Linked DNA regions of Rattus norvegicus. The protein of the gene in region 3 binds, or shares a complex with, the protein of the main gene of each other region. Links are inferred from orthologs where the notes say so. Each region holds a gene or a part of one and is shown on either strand. Other genes may lie near its edges.

Evidence for each region. The genes of interacting proteins can lie anywhere in the genome.
Region 1: the proteins of Gnaq (region 3) and Plcb3 are in contact, whole or in part, in a cryo-EM structure (PDB 8UQO), measured with the Homo sapiens proteins. The link is inferred for Rattus norvegicus from reciprocal best matches to the Homo sapiens genes GNAQ and PLCB3. Residues at the interface, in NP_002063.2 of Homo sapiens: Pro185, Thr186, Thr187, Ile189, Glu191, Pro193, Arg202, Gln209, Arg210, Ser211, Glu212, Arg213, Arg214, Lys215, Trp216, Ile217, His218, Val240, Glu241, Glu245, Glu249, Glu250, Ala253, Leu254, Arg256, Thr257, Ile258, Thr260, Tyr261; in NP_000923.1 of Homo sapiens: Pro257, Arg258, Leu259, Asn260, Glu261, Val262, Leu263, Arg707, Asp709, Lys710, Ile719, Asp721, Gly722, Ile723, Val724, Ala725, Ser845, Asp846, Tyr847, Ile848, Pro849, His852, Tyr855, Ala856, Ala858, Leu859, Ile860, Asn861, Pro862, Ile863.
Region 2: the proteins of Gnaq (region 3) and Casr are in contact, whole or in part, in a cryo-EM structure (PDB 8SZG), measured with the Homo sapiens proteins. The link is inferred for Rattus norvegicus from reciprocal best matches to the Homo sapiens genes GNAQ and CASR. Residues at the interface, in NP_002063.2 of Homo sapiens: His63, Leu196, Gln197, Ser198, Ile323, Tyr325, Ile337, Arg338, Phe339, Phe341, Ala342, Lys345, Asp346, Ile348, Leu349, Gln350, Leu351, Asn352, Leu353, Glu355, Tyr356, Leu358, Val359; in NP_000379.3 of Homo sapiens: Lys644, Ala645, Asn647, Arg701, Val702, Leu704, Val705, Phe706, Ala708, Lys709, Ile710, Pro711, Thr712, Phe714, Phe801, Arg873, Thr876, Ala877, His879, Ala880, Phe881, Val883, Ala884, Arg886, Ala887, Thr888, Leu889.

What each region holds. Positions count from the first base shown.
Region 1 is NC_086019.1:213,586,336-213,591,066, reverse strand, and holds the start of Plcb3 (1-phosphatidylinositol 4,5-bisphosphate phosphodiesterase beta-3), read left to right. Parts: upstream 1-1,631; 5' UTR 1,632-1,643; coding exon 1,644-1,742; intron 1,743-4,305; coding exon 4,306-4,383; intron 4,384-4,545; coding exon 4,546-4,614; intron 4,615-4,701; coding exon 4,702-4,731. UniProt on the Homo sapiens protein: Catalyzes the production of the second messenger molecules diacylglycerol (DAG) and inositol 1,4,5-trisphosphate (IP3).
Region 2 is NC_086029.1:77,738,906-77,743,713, forward strand, and holds the start of Casr (extracellular calcium-sensing receptor precursor), read left to right. Parts: upstream 1-1,708; 5' UTR 1,709-2,040; intron 2,041-4,808. UniProt on the Homo sapiens protein: G-protein-coupled receptor that senses changes in the extracellular concentration of calcium ions and plays a key role in maintaining calcium homeostasis.
Region 3 is NC_086019.1:222,850,812-222,855,809, reverse strand, and holds the start of Gnaq (guanine nucleotide-binding protein G(q) subunit alpha), read right to left. Parts: upstream 3,358-4,998; 5' UTR 3,263-3,357; coding exon 3,127-3,262; intron 1-3,126.

The DNA.
Region 1 (4,731 bases), about 9.3 Mb from region 3:
CTGTTCTCTGGAGAAGATTGGTGGTACTTGGAGCTCTGAAGGGGTATTTTTTTTAAATAGCTCTTGTGAAAGAAGAGGAAGAGGAGAGAGAGGAAAAGGAGGAAGAGGAAGAAGAGGAGAAGGAGGAAGAGGAGGAGGAGGAGGAGGAGGAGGAGGATCATAGGCCTGTACCTTTCTCCCCCCTTTTTTTCTCCTACAGAGTAGGGAGCAGGGGCAGGAAGTCAGAATGATGGGTGAAATCCTCTCAGGAAGCTGTGTGACCTTGGGCAAGTCACTTCCCCTCTCTGGGCCTCAAGTGGAGATAATAATCATACCACTGCACAAGGCCACAGCCAAAGACAACTAGATTCATTAAGTTTGCCGCCATTATGATGGCGATTTGGAGAACAGCCAGTGCCAGTCAGGGCTCCTCTTGAGGCTGAGAGCCTGGGGCAAAGACGCCGGCAGGGAAGCTCCTCCTTAGCTGACCCTCCTCCCCCAGAGCCAGCTCCAACTCTTTCTGGGTTTCTAGGTGACTTGGCTGGCCCCTCTGGATGAGTTCTACTTTAAACCTGCTGCTGCTGCCTCCTCTGTATTGGGGGGGCTCCCACAGGGGCCCCCAGGCAGGAGCCCCCCCCCGGCCAAGCCCTGCGGGAGGGGCTGCAGCCCCCACCCCGGCTGGTGCCCATGTGTCTGCCCCTTCCGTTCCTCCGATCGCTGGAACACAGATTTCAGGGCACCTGCTATGGGCCAGGAGCTGCACAACCCCTCCTTTGGGGACACCCACGAGGCTTCTGCCCCCTCTGGGCAAACAACCATCCTTCACTGTGCGGTTTTCTGCTACGAGGCTCACTGAGGCTGGCTCCCATCTCAGGGTCAGCAGCGCCAAGAACTGCGGCAAGGTTTTCTCTGGAAAACCAGGATGCCTGGGTCCTCAAAGGAGGTGGCAGCTCCAGGCCTCCAGGGCTAGGGACGGGGGAGGGGCGCCTGCCGGCGGGAGGCCCATTAGCCAGCTAAGTGCTCCCTGGGAGGTGGGGGGGGGGACTGCTCTGCAGCAGCAGGGGGTGAGGCGAAGTGAGGGCACGCGGGTGGAGTGGGATGGAGAGAGATGCGGTGATATTTCCTGAGTTCAGCTAAGTGCGGTAGGAGTGGGTTGGGGACAGGGGTCTGTGTCCCCCAGCCTTATTATCTTCGCCTTTTCCACCTGGAGTCCTCAACTAGCTGACCTTGGCATGTCTTCGGTAGTTCGAACACCCGTCTTTCCAGGTGCACCCTCAATAGCCCCGGGCTCCCAAGCTCTCCTACTTTATCTAAGACTCCGGAAAACTTGAGACCTACTGAGCCGGCCAACAAAGACCCCCCCCCCCCCCAATTCCGCTCTATCATCCCTTTGGCTGCAGTCGCCGCCCCGACCGCCAGGGGGCGCCGCCGCGGGTCGGGCGACCCCTCCGCGGTGGGAGGGGGCGGCACCGCCCGACGGGGCGGGGCTCGGCGGGGGCGGGGCCGGGCGCCGAGTCTCCCGTCCGTCCGGGACAGACTGGCTGGCGGGCGGGCGCTGACGCCGCGGGGCCAGAGCGGGCCGCGCGGGAGCGTGTGGAGAAAGCAGTGGCACCGTCCGTTCCCGTCGGGGTTCCATAGGTCCCCGAGCCGCCCCTGGCTTGGCCATGGCGGGCGCGAGGCCCGGCGTCCACGCGCTGCAGCTGGAGCCGCCCACCGTGGTGGAGACCCTGCGGCGCGGGAGTAAATTCATCAAATGGGACGAGGTAAGAGAGTGGCTGTCCCCTACTCTGCCCTGATCGAAGGATTCCTTCAGTCACATTCGGCTAGATGCCAGGGACCCCCACTTCAGTGTAGCCTGACCACTGCACCCCTATTCCAGCCTTGCTGCACTCCGGAAACTTGAGTCCCACTGTTGTCCTGGTAATTGAAGACTTTGTCGTCGTCGTTCCCCTCACCGACCCGCAAACCAATCCTTTAGCTGTGGTCAGTTGGGTTCTCCACTCCTTGGCATGGAGACTTTGAACCTCAATAAATCCTGTCCCTCTTCTTACTCTTTCCCACCCTTGCCAGACGATGAATATCAGTCTCCATGCTGGTTCTCAGTTTCTGGTCTTGTCCTCAGATCCTTGTGCCTGGCACTGGGCTCCCAGGGGGTATAGGGCATCCTTGTCTTGGGTGGGGTGCCACTGGGATCCTACTCTTAGCAGTGCATCGCCTGAGCTATTCTATTCATCACATTTCAGCCTGTCCTGGTTGGTACCCCTTCATCCTGTTTCTGGGTTCCAGCGAGCTTTCTGTTCAGATGGGAGCGCCAAGTTACCCCTTACCGTAGACTTTGTCCCTTTCCAGGTCCCTCCAACTCTGGGAACTTTGCTCCCCACTCCTTAATTTAGTGACTTTGAACCCCAATAAATCCTGCCCTCCCCATTTTTTACTACTTTCTCCCTGGTACTTTCCTGATACCCACCTGCGGCTTCTTATCCAGATATCACGTCTTACCCACGTTTCTGGTTTCTGTACTGTTCTCTCCCCTGCCCCCTGGGCCCCTCGCTCCCTAGGGCCTCAACTCAGCGGCCTGAGCTTCCTTACTGTTCCTTCCCAGTCGGGCCATAGGCCTGGAAGACGCTAGGGCTAGGTTTCTTTCCGGCTGGGTGGGGCAGGAGTGGGAACTAAGGGGAGGGGCTGGGGGCGTGGCCTTAGCTGCAGGTGTGCTGGGCAAGGGTGGGTACCCCTGGGTCCCCAGAAGACCCCTTCCCCCAGGCCAGCCTAAAGGGAAAAATTTCTCCTTTTCCTTGCAGTGTGATAAACCCAAATAAGGAAGTGGGAACAAGGAGAGGGCCTGGGGTGGGGTGGGGGTGCCGAGCAAAGTTTGGAACTGCAGAGCCAGAGTCCTGGGTAGCCTTTGGAGGTTAGGACCCTGAGGATGGTACCACAGCGGCTTTAGGGACAGTACCCACAAATTTCTCCCTTTCTTGTACTACTGGTGGCTGGTTAGTCAGGCCCAGGGCAAGGTTCTGAATCTCCTGGAGAGGTTGGGACCTGGTTAGAGTTGAAGGATTATGAATGTCCCCAGATCAGCTGCTGTTCTTTTGTAAACCAAGACTGCATGGGTGGGGCAACCCCTATTCTCCCAAGAGACAAACTGAGGTCTCTGCTATGAGGTTGATGCTGAGATCAGGAGCCAGGGGTGGTCCAGAGGGGTCTTGGCTCTCTCTGTTTGCCACGTGCCAGGACTTTACAAGTGTACCCCTGGAGATCCCGACTCCTCAGTTTCCTCCTGTGTAAAATGAGGGTGATGCAGGACACATCCTACACGGCGTTGAGGAACATGAAGGGGGGTGAAATTCAGGGTGTAGAATTCGCTGTGGCTCACAGTTGGGGCTGTGGGACCTGGAGTGTATACTGTTGGTGGCAGGGTTGTCTAGAGCCAGAGTTTGGGGATTTCAATCCTCTTTTGGCTCAAGGGAGAGTAAGAGTAAGATTGACTTGAGTGAAGTCCTTGCTGGTCCTGAGTCTTGGGCTCCGTGGGGTAGCCTTGGGCATCAGTGACTGGGTCCTTTTTAGAAAGTGAGCCTTGAGGTTGGGGATTTAGCTCAGTGGTAGAGCGCTTGCCCAGCAAGCACAAGGCCCTGGGTTCGGTCCCCAGCTCCGAAAAACAAAAACAAAAACAAAAACAAAAAACAAAAAACAAAGAAAGTGAGCCTTTTCCTCATATCCTGCCTTCCTGTCAGTCACCATAGGGTTGTTAGGGAGAAGAGTGAACCCCCTGCCTAGTCTTCCTGAGGGACCTTTTCTATAAGATGGGTGAGCCTAGAGGCTATAAGGATCCCACGAGGTACAGTGTGATGGGTGATAAGCTTTGAGAAAGATCTTAGGGTGGCCAGATACTGTGAGGCCTCAAGGACAGAGAGAACTTTAGCTCCAGGCTTCTAAGCCCTCTGCTCTCATACAGGAATAATAAGGGATCGGAGGCAGAGGATTCTAGCATTCTTGACCTCTCAGGCCTTGTTGGGAAGCCAAAGCTAGAATGGGCTCCTGGAGACCTCCACAGCAGTTTCAAGGTAGAGAAAAAGTGAAAGTACAGGGTAGGGTGTGGCAAAAGCTGGGTGTTAGAGACAGGGTAGTAGCCTATGGGATAGAATCTCAGGGTAAAGGTGAAGCTGGGAGACATGTTAGAGACTGAACCTGAAATGTCACGCTGACGACTTGTCTTCGTCTCCAGGAGCACCTGTGTGTCGGCGGAGCGTCCTCTTAGCTCACTGGCAGAAACCAGCTACCGTAGGTCCAGCTCTCACTCCCCTGACCCTTGTCTTGTACTGCCCTCAGGAGGCCTCCAGTCGGAACCTGGTGACCCTGCGAGTGGACCCCAATGGCTTCTTCTTGTACTGGACAGGACCCAACATGGTGAGAGTGGTGTTGGTGCTGCCGGCTCAGGCCTAGGCCTCTAGGGGTGACCCCTGCCCTTGTCCTGGGGGTAAGGCCTAGCCAGGGGGTTGGCATTCCACAGCGTGAGTGGGAAGACCCCTCATATTTCTTAGACACAAACCTTGGCTCTGGTTTTCCCAGGAGGTGGACACACTGGACATCAGCTCCATCAGGGACACAAGGACAGGTCGTTATGCCCGCCTGCCCAAGGTGAGGGATACAGTCTGATACTGATGGGGCTAAGGTTGTCAGGGGACAGGACACTTCTCCTCCTCACCTTTGACTTTTACTACACAGGACCCCAAGATTCGAGAGGTACTGGGCTTT
Region 2 (4,808 bases), on a different chromosome or scaffold from region 3:
CCACAGGAACAGGAGAATTAGAAAAGACGCAGCTTCTTCAACTGGTAAGCCACTGTTCTTAGCACCACTGTCCGTACTCAAAACCAAGCCCTGTGGAAGATGCTTATTTATGCGCACTGGCCACGCCCTGCCCACCTCAACTCTATAGCTTCCCAGCTGTTCCATCCCCGGTACAGACATCTCCACATGCTCCAGTCTCATCCGTAAATTGGGAATAGCAAATGCTCCTGGGAGTGACACTTGAAGTCCAAATCCTAATTCAAACATCATAAAGAGTATTAGTACAACCTGATTGAGAACCTGATTGAGGACTCTCTCTCTCTCTCTCTCTCTCTCTCTCTCTCTCTCTCTCTCTCTCGGCTGCTAGGTTGAATTGTGCTGTCTGGCCCAAGCAACCATATTATTGAGATTCGCTGGGTGATTTCTCCCTTTATGTCTGGTAAACACTATCTCATATCAAGCATCATGGGCCTCTGACTCTTACAATCTTCCTTCCCCATCCTTCATGATTTCCCATGAGCCTTCGGTGCAGTGCTTGTGTTGCTGATGCGTCAGTTGGCGGTAGGGTGTCCCACAGTCCCTTGTTTTTCTGTATCTTGTAACAAATTGTCTCTATCTGTTGAAAAAAAAAAGAAACCTGCCTTTTTAAAGAAGAACTACATTTATCTGTAGAAACATGGCAGCCATGAGTTCTCCTCTCAAGTCTATGACTTCTCTAAACACAAGTAGTTAGGCTTACAGTACCAGGCGTGGATTCATCCCTATTGAGGGAGTCTTAAGTTTACTTAGACAATTGGTGTTTATCCCCATGATAAATGTACCCTTATTGCACCACTGTGGATGCCTTGCTGAAACACTCATTGTTGCGGTTCATAGGAATAAACACAATCTGTTCTAAGAAAACTGGGAGGCACTGAAGTTTCCATGTCTGCGTTATAACGGCGTAGTATACCATTAAGCCACACTACCTTAACTTCTTTAACCTTTTTCCTATTGGTAGGTTTGGTGTTATTTGCTTCTTGCTTTTATCTTGGTGTGTGTGTGTGTGTGTGTGTGTGTGTGTGTGTGTGTGTGTGTGTGTGTGTGTTGGCTATCAAATTGCTTACACAAAGGAATTAGTAGGCTTTAAGGCTGAAAAGCAAATGTTGGGCTTCTACCAAATAAATTGATTTTCCACTTCACTCAAGTATCATGATGAGTGGCAGGTGCTGTGCCAGAGCCCGAGAACAACTATGAGCCAAGCTGGGCTCTCCTGCCTTCAAGAAACACACCCTGATGCTGGGGCATGGCTTACCAGATCTCTGGGACAGTGGAGGGAGGGAGCTGTTTGTGCACAGACCGCAGACACAACGCTGGAGTCCAGCAGAACGCCTGAGAGTGTTTATTATACTGTGAGTTCTGGATCTTCATTAGGAAAAAAGTGCCCCATCCTCTGGCACGGTTGCCTTGTGATCCCCTTTTCATCTCCAGGGAGGAGCGGGAAGTGTGAGTGTATGGGGAGGTATCCTCCCGACCAACAGCAGGAGCAGGAGCGGGAGCCTGGGAATGGCTAGAGCCTCATCGCAGGCAGGAGGACTCCAGCGCTGGACCTTTGTCTCCCAGGTACCAAACCCGACCCGGCAGGTGGCCTGGGGGAGGGACGTCGCGCCCGCAGCGCCCGGCTCCGAAGCGCACAGCTCAAAGGCTGACCTGAGAGATCTAGGGAGCCCGGGACTCTCCAGGCCGGCTCAGGCACCGGACTGTAGGTGTATTTGGAGGGATTTGGAGGCTGGAGACCCCAGGAAGCACGCAGGCGGGAGCAGGCAAGGGGCGGAGCCCCGGGCCCGGCCAAGGTGGCCGTCAGAGGGTCTGCGGGGAGGCAGTAGCTTGACCCAAGGCGACCAGGGAACTTCAGACGGTAGCACGCCACTCAAACAAATTAACTTGACATCGCAAGCTGGGCGGGCTGGTACGACATCCTGACTTCAGCATCCAGCTGTTCCTGGGCAGACAGAGGGCCAACAGGTGTTCCTGTGGAAGAAGCCAGGACAAGGACTCCAGGTAGGGCTTGGGGACACCAGAAGGGCGGGCACAATGAACCCTAGTAGAAGTAGCAAGAGGGGGCAGAGGTCTGGGGGCAGGGAGCAGTAGCAGCTCAGACCTGGGATTCCTGAATATTGGCTTCAGGGACAGCGGGGTCGGATGCTTACGAGGATGAATAGAGTTCACGCTAAAACAAGGCTGTGGGATGTGTCTTGTGCCTGTGACACAGTCAAAGAGAACATTTCCCAGTGTGAAGGAGAAAGGTAGATGATTTCTGGAGCGTGGTGTGTGTGTGTGTGTGTGTGTGTGTGTGTGTGTGTGTGTGTGTTACCAGCTGCCTGCCTACCCAAGGTGCTTGCCTCAGTGGCACCAAATTAGGGTGTGTGGTTACCAGCCTCCATATTCCTTGAAGGTTAAAAAAAAAGTACGTTGATGGAGTTATTGTTTCGACATTGTAGTTTTCAGTCGATGATATGCACTTTAAACTAGGAAACGACACCAATGCATGTCTGGAGACCAGCTTCATTTCTAACACGAGTTTACTCATTGTGCTAGCTCTCTTCTGTCCTGATTCTTTCACCTCCCACCTTCCTGCTCAAGGAACATACCAGAAAAGTATGATGTCCCCCTCACTCTCCTCATTACCCGCCTCGCTCCATCTCTAGTATTCTTCCTCAGAATACTGGGGCAAAGGGAGCCAGCTCAGGGGAAGACTGAAGGCCTTGCCTTCCAGAGACTGGCAAAGAGGCATGTTGGGGTAGCGCCCCTGACAAGTTCCCACCTGTTCTCGGGGATGTCTCAGCACAGTAAAGTGATGCAGTACACTGTTGAGGGAGGATGAGGAGGGCTGTCTCCCCAAACTCTCTGCCACCCCAGAATTCATTCCCTCTCCCATCTGAACTCCAGGTCCCCAAAGTGGCATGCTTGGGGTTTTCCCCCTAGAGGACCTGGAAAAGTGAGTTTTAAATTGGCCCTGTGATAGGCAGAGGGAAGAGAAGACACAAAGGAAGACATGGAGGAGATCGGAAAACAGTGAGGGAGCAGCAGACCAACATCTTTGAGAGGAGAGGAATCCTAGGCCAGGCCCTGTCATTCAGGAGCTGACCCTGAGTTCTTCTTAGGGAAGACACATGTGGTGTTCATGCCGACAACTCACGTCACTCACTCTTTTCCAGGATCAACAAATCAAACCATGTTTGTAGGTCAAGACCGAGCAATTGGTCGTGTTTTTCATTGAATGAGAGGTTCTTTAGAAGCTGTATGAACTGTTTAGAGTAACCTCAATCTACATATACCAGTGTCCCTTATTTTCTTCATTTTTCCTTCATATGCTGCCATTCTGAACTGGATCCTGCCAAGTTCAGGCACCAGCTGCTCCCTCTTCTGCAGATCTAAGGATGATATTGTAACTAGAGAATGAATCGGGATGGGTGCAAGTGCGGGTGGGTTGATGCGTATGACTTATAAACAGAGGAATGGTTGGATAAAATGTGAAAAACATCAGTATTCACTTAACGTGTTTGTAGAGCCTAGCTACACACGAGTTCCTGGGAACAAGATGGTAAATAAGACAAGGTTCCCCCTTCCCTGTGCTTACAGATGCTTGGGGGAGGGCAGCTGTCAGTAAAATGATTATCGACTATGTGATTGCAAGCTAAAATAAACCTTCTAAGGGAAAGACACTAAGTCCTCCACGGGTGTACATAGATGAGACTGTGAGACCGGGAAAGTCTTTCTCAAACAGTCCACTGCTAGGGTTCTAGGCTAATCAGGATGTTAAAGAAATCTGATTTTTGAGGTGAGGTCAGACTGTTTCAGTTAGGAATAGTATTTGGCTGCTGGTCACCTAACAGACCTGGTGCTACGGAGGGCCCCTTGACGTGTGCCCACGTGCAGTTGGTGTTACTGGCTTGAGGGGAAAGAGTGTCTTGTCATCATAGGCTGGGTGTGTTGTCCATTGGCCGTGGTTTTCCATTGCTATAATTCTTGCTTTTAAATTAAATGTCCAGATTAACTTAATTCCTATGATTTCATTTTATTGTGTACCATAAAATGTATACTGCGGTATAAATGTGAATCATCCACTTTCCCTCTGAGAAGGTAAATACGGAGATAAGGCTCACGCTGCCTATGTGGTGACAGTTCAGTGCTATCACTGAACAGCGTCCCAGGTAAAATAGCTGTGGCAGGTGGACTGCAAAGATTGCCCCTCTATCCCTGGCTGCTGCTCTCATTGGAAGGATGTGTCTCCTCTACACACACACACACACACACACACACACACACACACACACACAGGAAACTAATTCCTAGCCTTGTACACTCAAAGCTCCAACTCTGTCCTGAGCCACAAGCCCAGCTTGTATTGTTCAGAAGAGAGCGGTATTTAAAGATTTAGTGTTTTAGATACTATAAATTTTCATAATTGGCTTCTTAGTACGGACAGGTATATTATATCGACAATTGCAGTGATGCTGTAAAATGAATAAAAATCTCACAACATAAGGTCACAGCACAGAGCCTCTAGAAAACAATGTGCTTCACATTCATCCAGCACAAACTTTCATTCATTGAGCATTGCTTGCAGTAAACTTTCTATGTGCATGGAACTCTGCTAACCATTGTGGGTAAGATGGATTAGAAAGCCACAGTCCCAGCATTTAAGGAGCCCATCCCTCCTCTCAGGGATAGAACTTAGGTACACAGAGAGTATTTTGTTTGCCAGGTGGAGGTATCATGAGCAGACACAAGGGAAGAGAGTGGTCAGTTCTCCCGACCAAGGAAGA
Region 3 (4,998 bases):
ATTCTTCCATTTAAGACTGACCTAAACTCTTCTGTTTTCAATAGGAAGAATCTATCAATAAAAAGGGATCGCTAATCTGATGACTAAGGTCTACAGAGTAAATATTTCAAACACCTGTAAGAAGAACAACAGGGAGAGAAGTGATGTCTTTAAGAAACTGACTAAAGCTTTCCAGTGAGAATCTATAAACTAAAGCAGACACTCAGAGCCATTTGCTCCTCAGAGACTTAAAGACAAATCAGCAATTAAGTGCTGTGATCTGTGTGCCACCAACAAAAATATCTAATGAATAGTCATGATAGTTCAACTTTAAAGGCAAGATAATATACTTTTACACCTAGTAAGTGTTAAGTATCAAATACCTTCTACTGTATCCTATATAGAATTTAAAGCTTTCCTTGAGGTGTCAAAGGAAACAAATGCTAATGTGAAGGATCTAAAGAGAATAAGACAGAAGTTACTAAGTTAAAATGAAACTCTTTACTGTGATAAAATGTCAGAGATCATTCTTCAAGTAGAACGAGATCAAAATGTGTAAGCTCTGTAGAATAAATGAGGCACATACTAGCGTAAGTACTGGATAATGACTCAAAAGAGCCTTACTGGCACACTTGATTATCTCGTCAGATAACCGGTTTTGTGATACCACCATATTTTAATAAGTAAATAATACATTGCTCCCTTGCAGGACAGTTTCCTTGAGTGTCAACCTTGAGTTAAAACTTATTTGAAAACAATTTTACACAGAACTTCAACATGAAGCATGATCCCTCCATGTACAGAAGCCTTCAAAGGTACTAATAATGTGATGAAATACATTCTGTAATCTCCTCTGGATAGATGTTGGTAAAATGAACGAAAGAACTAGGAAATGAAGACTACTCCCAAGGCAGCAGACCAGGAAGGAGCCCCTCCCCCAAGCACTCCCTTGTTCAACACTCATTTCCCTGCTAATCTCACACTCATACACACAGAGACGTTTACACTTAATGTCTATCATGATTACACAAATAATGTGGGTACTGCGTTTGGAAGAAGCCTATCCACACTGAGAACAGCCGTGATTGTTAATGATGCCCAGGGCTCCCACTTCTGACAGAGAACTGTATGGGTTTTTTAAAAAATGTTGTTCATAAATGCAGGTGCTGAATCAACAGCAAATTTTCTACCACCTCCACCAGTCTGTCTCTGATGGGTGAGGTGGGGCCATGTTTAAAGCCTGCTTCAATCTATAATCAGTGAGGGAGGGCCGCCACACACTTACACTGACCACATTTTTAGCAGTAGGACTGGAGGGATTTCCCCTCAGGAAATCATTCCCATGTTCATTTTTTTTAAAGCATAGCATATTATTAAAATAAACAGCATGTAATTAAGTATCTCTATAAGTGTATCCCCCTCTCAGGCATTTAAACCTAGGCCCTCTGACAAACCTAACTCATGGCTGCCTGGAAACCTCGAGCTGTCAAATTTCAGGCAAATAAGTTTGGTTAACTAGACCTCAAATGCCCTGTTCTTAGCTAAACACAAACATATGAAGATTGTAAACAAAGGAAAATTAAAAGCCAGGTCTAAGAGAAAAATCTCTAAAACACATGTTTTCCCTCTTAATTGTATACTGGAACACCGTATATTTATTCCACTTGCCCTTGCTTTTCCCTTCTCAATTTAAAAAAAAAAAAAGAAAGAAAGAAAGAAAGAAAAAGATAAGGCATTCCATTTTCAGCCATGAGAAGAAACAGAAATGATGAGGGTGGTAGACTTACCCAATTTCCCCACTCCCCTTGCCTTATTCCCCTAAAACCCACCTTTTTATTCAGCTCCTTGCCTTCTGTACTGTATGAACACTTTATATGTGCACATTTACCTAACTGGATTTCAATAAAAAAAAAACCTACGCTGGGGAAGGAAATAGCATTGGTAGCCATTTGTGATTGTGATATTTTGCTCCTGACTATAAGTGATCCAGTACATAAGCAGTTCGGTCCCCAAGGTAATGGGTTCCTGGAGCCAGCAGATGGACTGCTCCAGATAGAAAAGAAAGAGGGGAGGGGGGACTTCTCAAATCCCAACCAACGAAGCAATATCCTCTTCTTACAGAAATGTTTGAGAAGCGTTATTTTTACTCATACAAATAAACACAAGTGCAGACATTTTTCAGGCCTGTTCCTGCAAAGCAGTTCATGCTTCCTACCACAGTAGCAATAGTTATGTCATGCTAGCTTGTACATGAACCCTGATCGCTTGATTCCAAACATCCTCTCAGAGATAATAATCAATATAATTCCTATTTGAAAATAGCATTTTCTTCTTAATTTCGTGTTAAAGCAGAATGTTGGATTGTCATTTAGAAAAAAAAAAAAAAAGAGATCTGAGGGAAATTTTCTCGAACTCTTCCCGTTTTTCTTGGAGCCCAGATGGCAAGATACTAAAATGTCCGTTTTAAACAAAAGGTTTCTGTTTGTTTCCAGGAGAGTAACTGAGAGGCTGTGCTGGTTTCCAGTAGAAACTGCTGTGAATTCAGGCATACATCTGGGTCGCCTCATTAAACAAAAGATAGCCGTCTGCTGTCAACAACCACACAGTACAACACTCCCGGATCCTTCATCTTTATCCAGAAGGAATGGTGCAGAAGAGACGCCTGTCACCATCCACTGCCCATGCAACTCTCTGGGGTCACTCCTGTCAGTGGCCTGGTGGCTACAGTGGAGCACATTTGGGCTAGTCTTCCCGCCCCGCCCCTGCCCAGTACGTTAACCCGGGTTTCTTTGGAGCGCCAGCCAAGGCTTCCTCAGCACCTTTCCTAGCTGAATCCAGACCCTAGTCTGCTCCCCGTTTCCACCCTTCCCTCTCCACCCTACAACGCGCCACAATGGACGCTGGCCTGCCACCGCACTGCACGCCATCGCCCACCCGCGCCGCTCGCGCGGACGCTCAGCCGTCCCGCAGACGCGGCGCACAGAGCACGGCCCTAGCTGACACCGAAGGCGCACACCGCAGCTCCGGAGCCCCGGCCCTCGGCCCCTGTGTGCGCGCGCGCGGGTGCGGGTGCCGACCGGGAACGCGCGCGGGGAGGGCAGCGGCGAGCCGGGGCGGGGGGCACCAGGGCCCAAGGGCCGCACTCACCCAGCAGCAGCAGCTTGAGCTCCCGGCGGGCGTCGCGCTTGTCCCTGCGCAGCTGCCGCTCGATCTCGTCGTTGATCCTCCGGGCTTCCTTGGCCTCCTCGCTCAGGCAGCACGCCATGATGGACTCCAGAGTCATTCTTCCGAAGTGCCTCGCTGCAGCCCCGCCGGCGCCCTGCTCACACGCGCGCACACACGCCCTCCGCCCTCGCTCCCCCGAGGCAGCGGCGGCCGCGGAGTCCCGCCGCCCGGGCGCGCGTCAGGGACGAGCTCAGGGAGCCGCGGTGAGGACGGCGGCCGGGCCCGTAGCCCAGGCGGGCCGGGGACGAGCGGGGCCGGGGGCCTGGGACGCGCGAGGAAAGGCCGCCGCGCCCGGCCGCGCTCACACGCCGCCTTCTTGGAGAGCGCGCGGCCCTCCAGGCGCCGCTGCCGATGCTGCCCTAAGCTGTGCGCCCAGCGGCCCGAGCTCATCCACCGAGGCGGCCCAGCAGCGAGCGACCGCCGACGGCTCCGCGCGCCCGGCGCGCCCGCTCCTCGCCGCCGCCTGACTCGGCTCCGGGCGCCCTCGGCCTGCCCGCGCCCACTCGGCTCGCGCGCAAACCGGGCAGCCGGCCGCCGCGCGCTCCCCGCCTCCGCCCCCGCCTCCGCCGGACGCCCACCCGGCCCGATTGCCAGGCGCGCCGCGGCTGCTCAGTGCTCGCCCTCCCCCTCGCCACACACACACATTTTCTCCTTTCTCTGAACTGGAGCACAGATCCGGGAGGGAGGCGGCGGCGGGAGGAGGGCGGGCGCAGGGGGCGGGCGCAGCGCAAGGGGCGGGGCCGAGGCCCCTCCTGGACAGCTCGCGCTCTCCTCGCCCCGCCCCCGACTGCCGGCCTGGCTCGCCCGCCGCTTCCCTCTGCGCGAGCCCGGGAGCAGCGGTCACGGCCGCTCAAGCGGGGCCGGCCGGCCGGCGAACACAGTCCTTTGGCTGCCGCGGGCCGCCGGGGCGTGGTCGGCGAGAATATGGCGTCCTCGGCCTGCCCTCCGGCCGCTGGCGCGGCGGGAGCCCTGATGGGTGCCCACGCGCTGCACCCCAGGCCTCTCTACAGCCCTGCTGCCCTTTCCTATTTCTAAAACGCCATTCCGGAAAAACTGCCTCAAGTGGCCTCTGACTCCAGATCTGTCTTAGAAAATGGGATACTCTTTACTAGGAAAGAGAAAGGATTGTCACCGGCTCGCTGGGGGTTACCAAGAGATCTGTGGACGGAACTGTCCTCAGTATCTCCAGATAGGAATCTGAATCCTGAAGAGAAAAACCCAAGTTTCCAAGAGCCTCCTGATCTGTTCCAACTTTTCCGGTCACTAAGGTGATTTCTGTTTCCCTACCAGCACACTATGTTAAAAAGTCTGATATTATGAGCTTGACCCTTCTACACCGTGACAGTTAAGGATGATTTCTGGGAGATCTCCAAATAGTACAGAATGAAATGAAAGAGACGGATATGGTGTGTCATAAACTCCACACTCGACAGGCTGAGGCAGGAGAATTGCTTCCTGAGCAGTATGAAACATTGTATCAAAGAAAAGGGGGAGGGGAGAGAATAAAATAGGAAAAAGTGGAGAAACTAGTACCATTGGAGCAAAATTCTACTTGGTTTTTACACTTCTAATTTGAGATGGTTTACTAATAAATAGAAAAAGTCTTGATCACTCAAGGTTATTTGGGGGGAAAAAATGTTCATTCGATTCAATGTGTCTTAAACATCAAGGGGGAGATTCATACTATTCTCCCTGCCTTTGCAGGTAGAAGTGGAGCCCTCCCCATGTTGTGCTTTCCATGAACTGCCCCTATTGATCTAGGCTGCAATGTAAGGTCATAATCATTGCTACAAA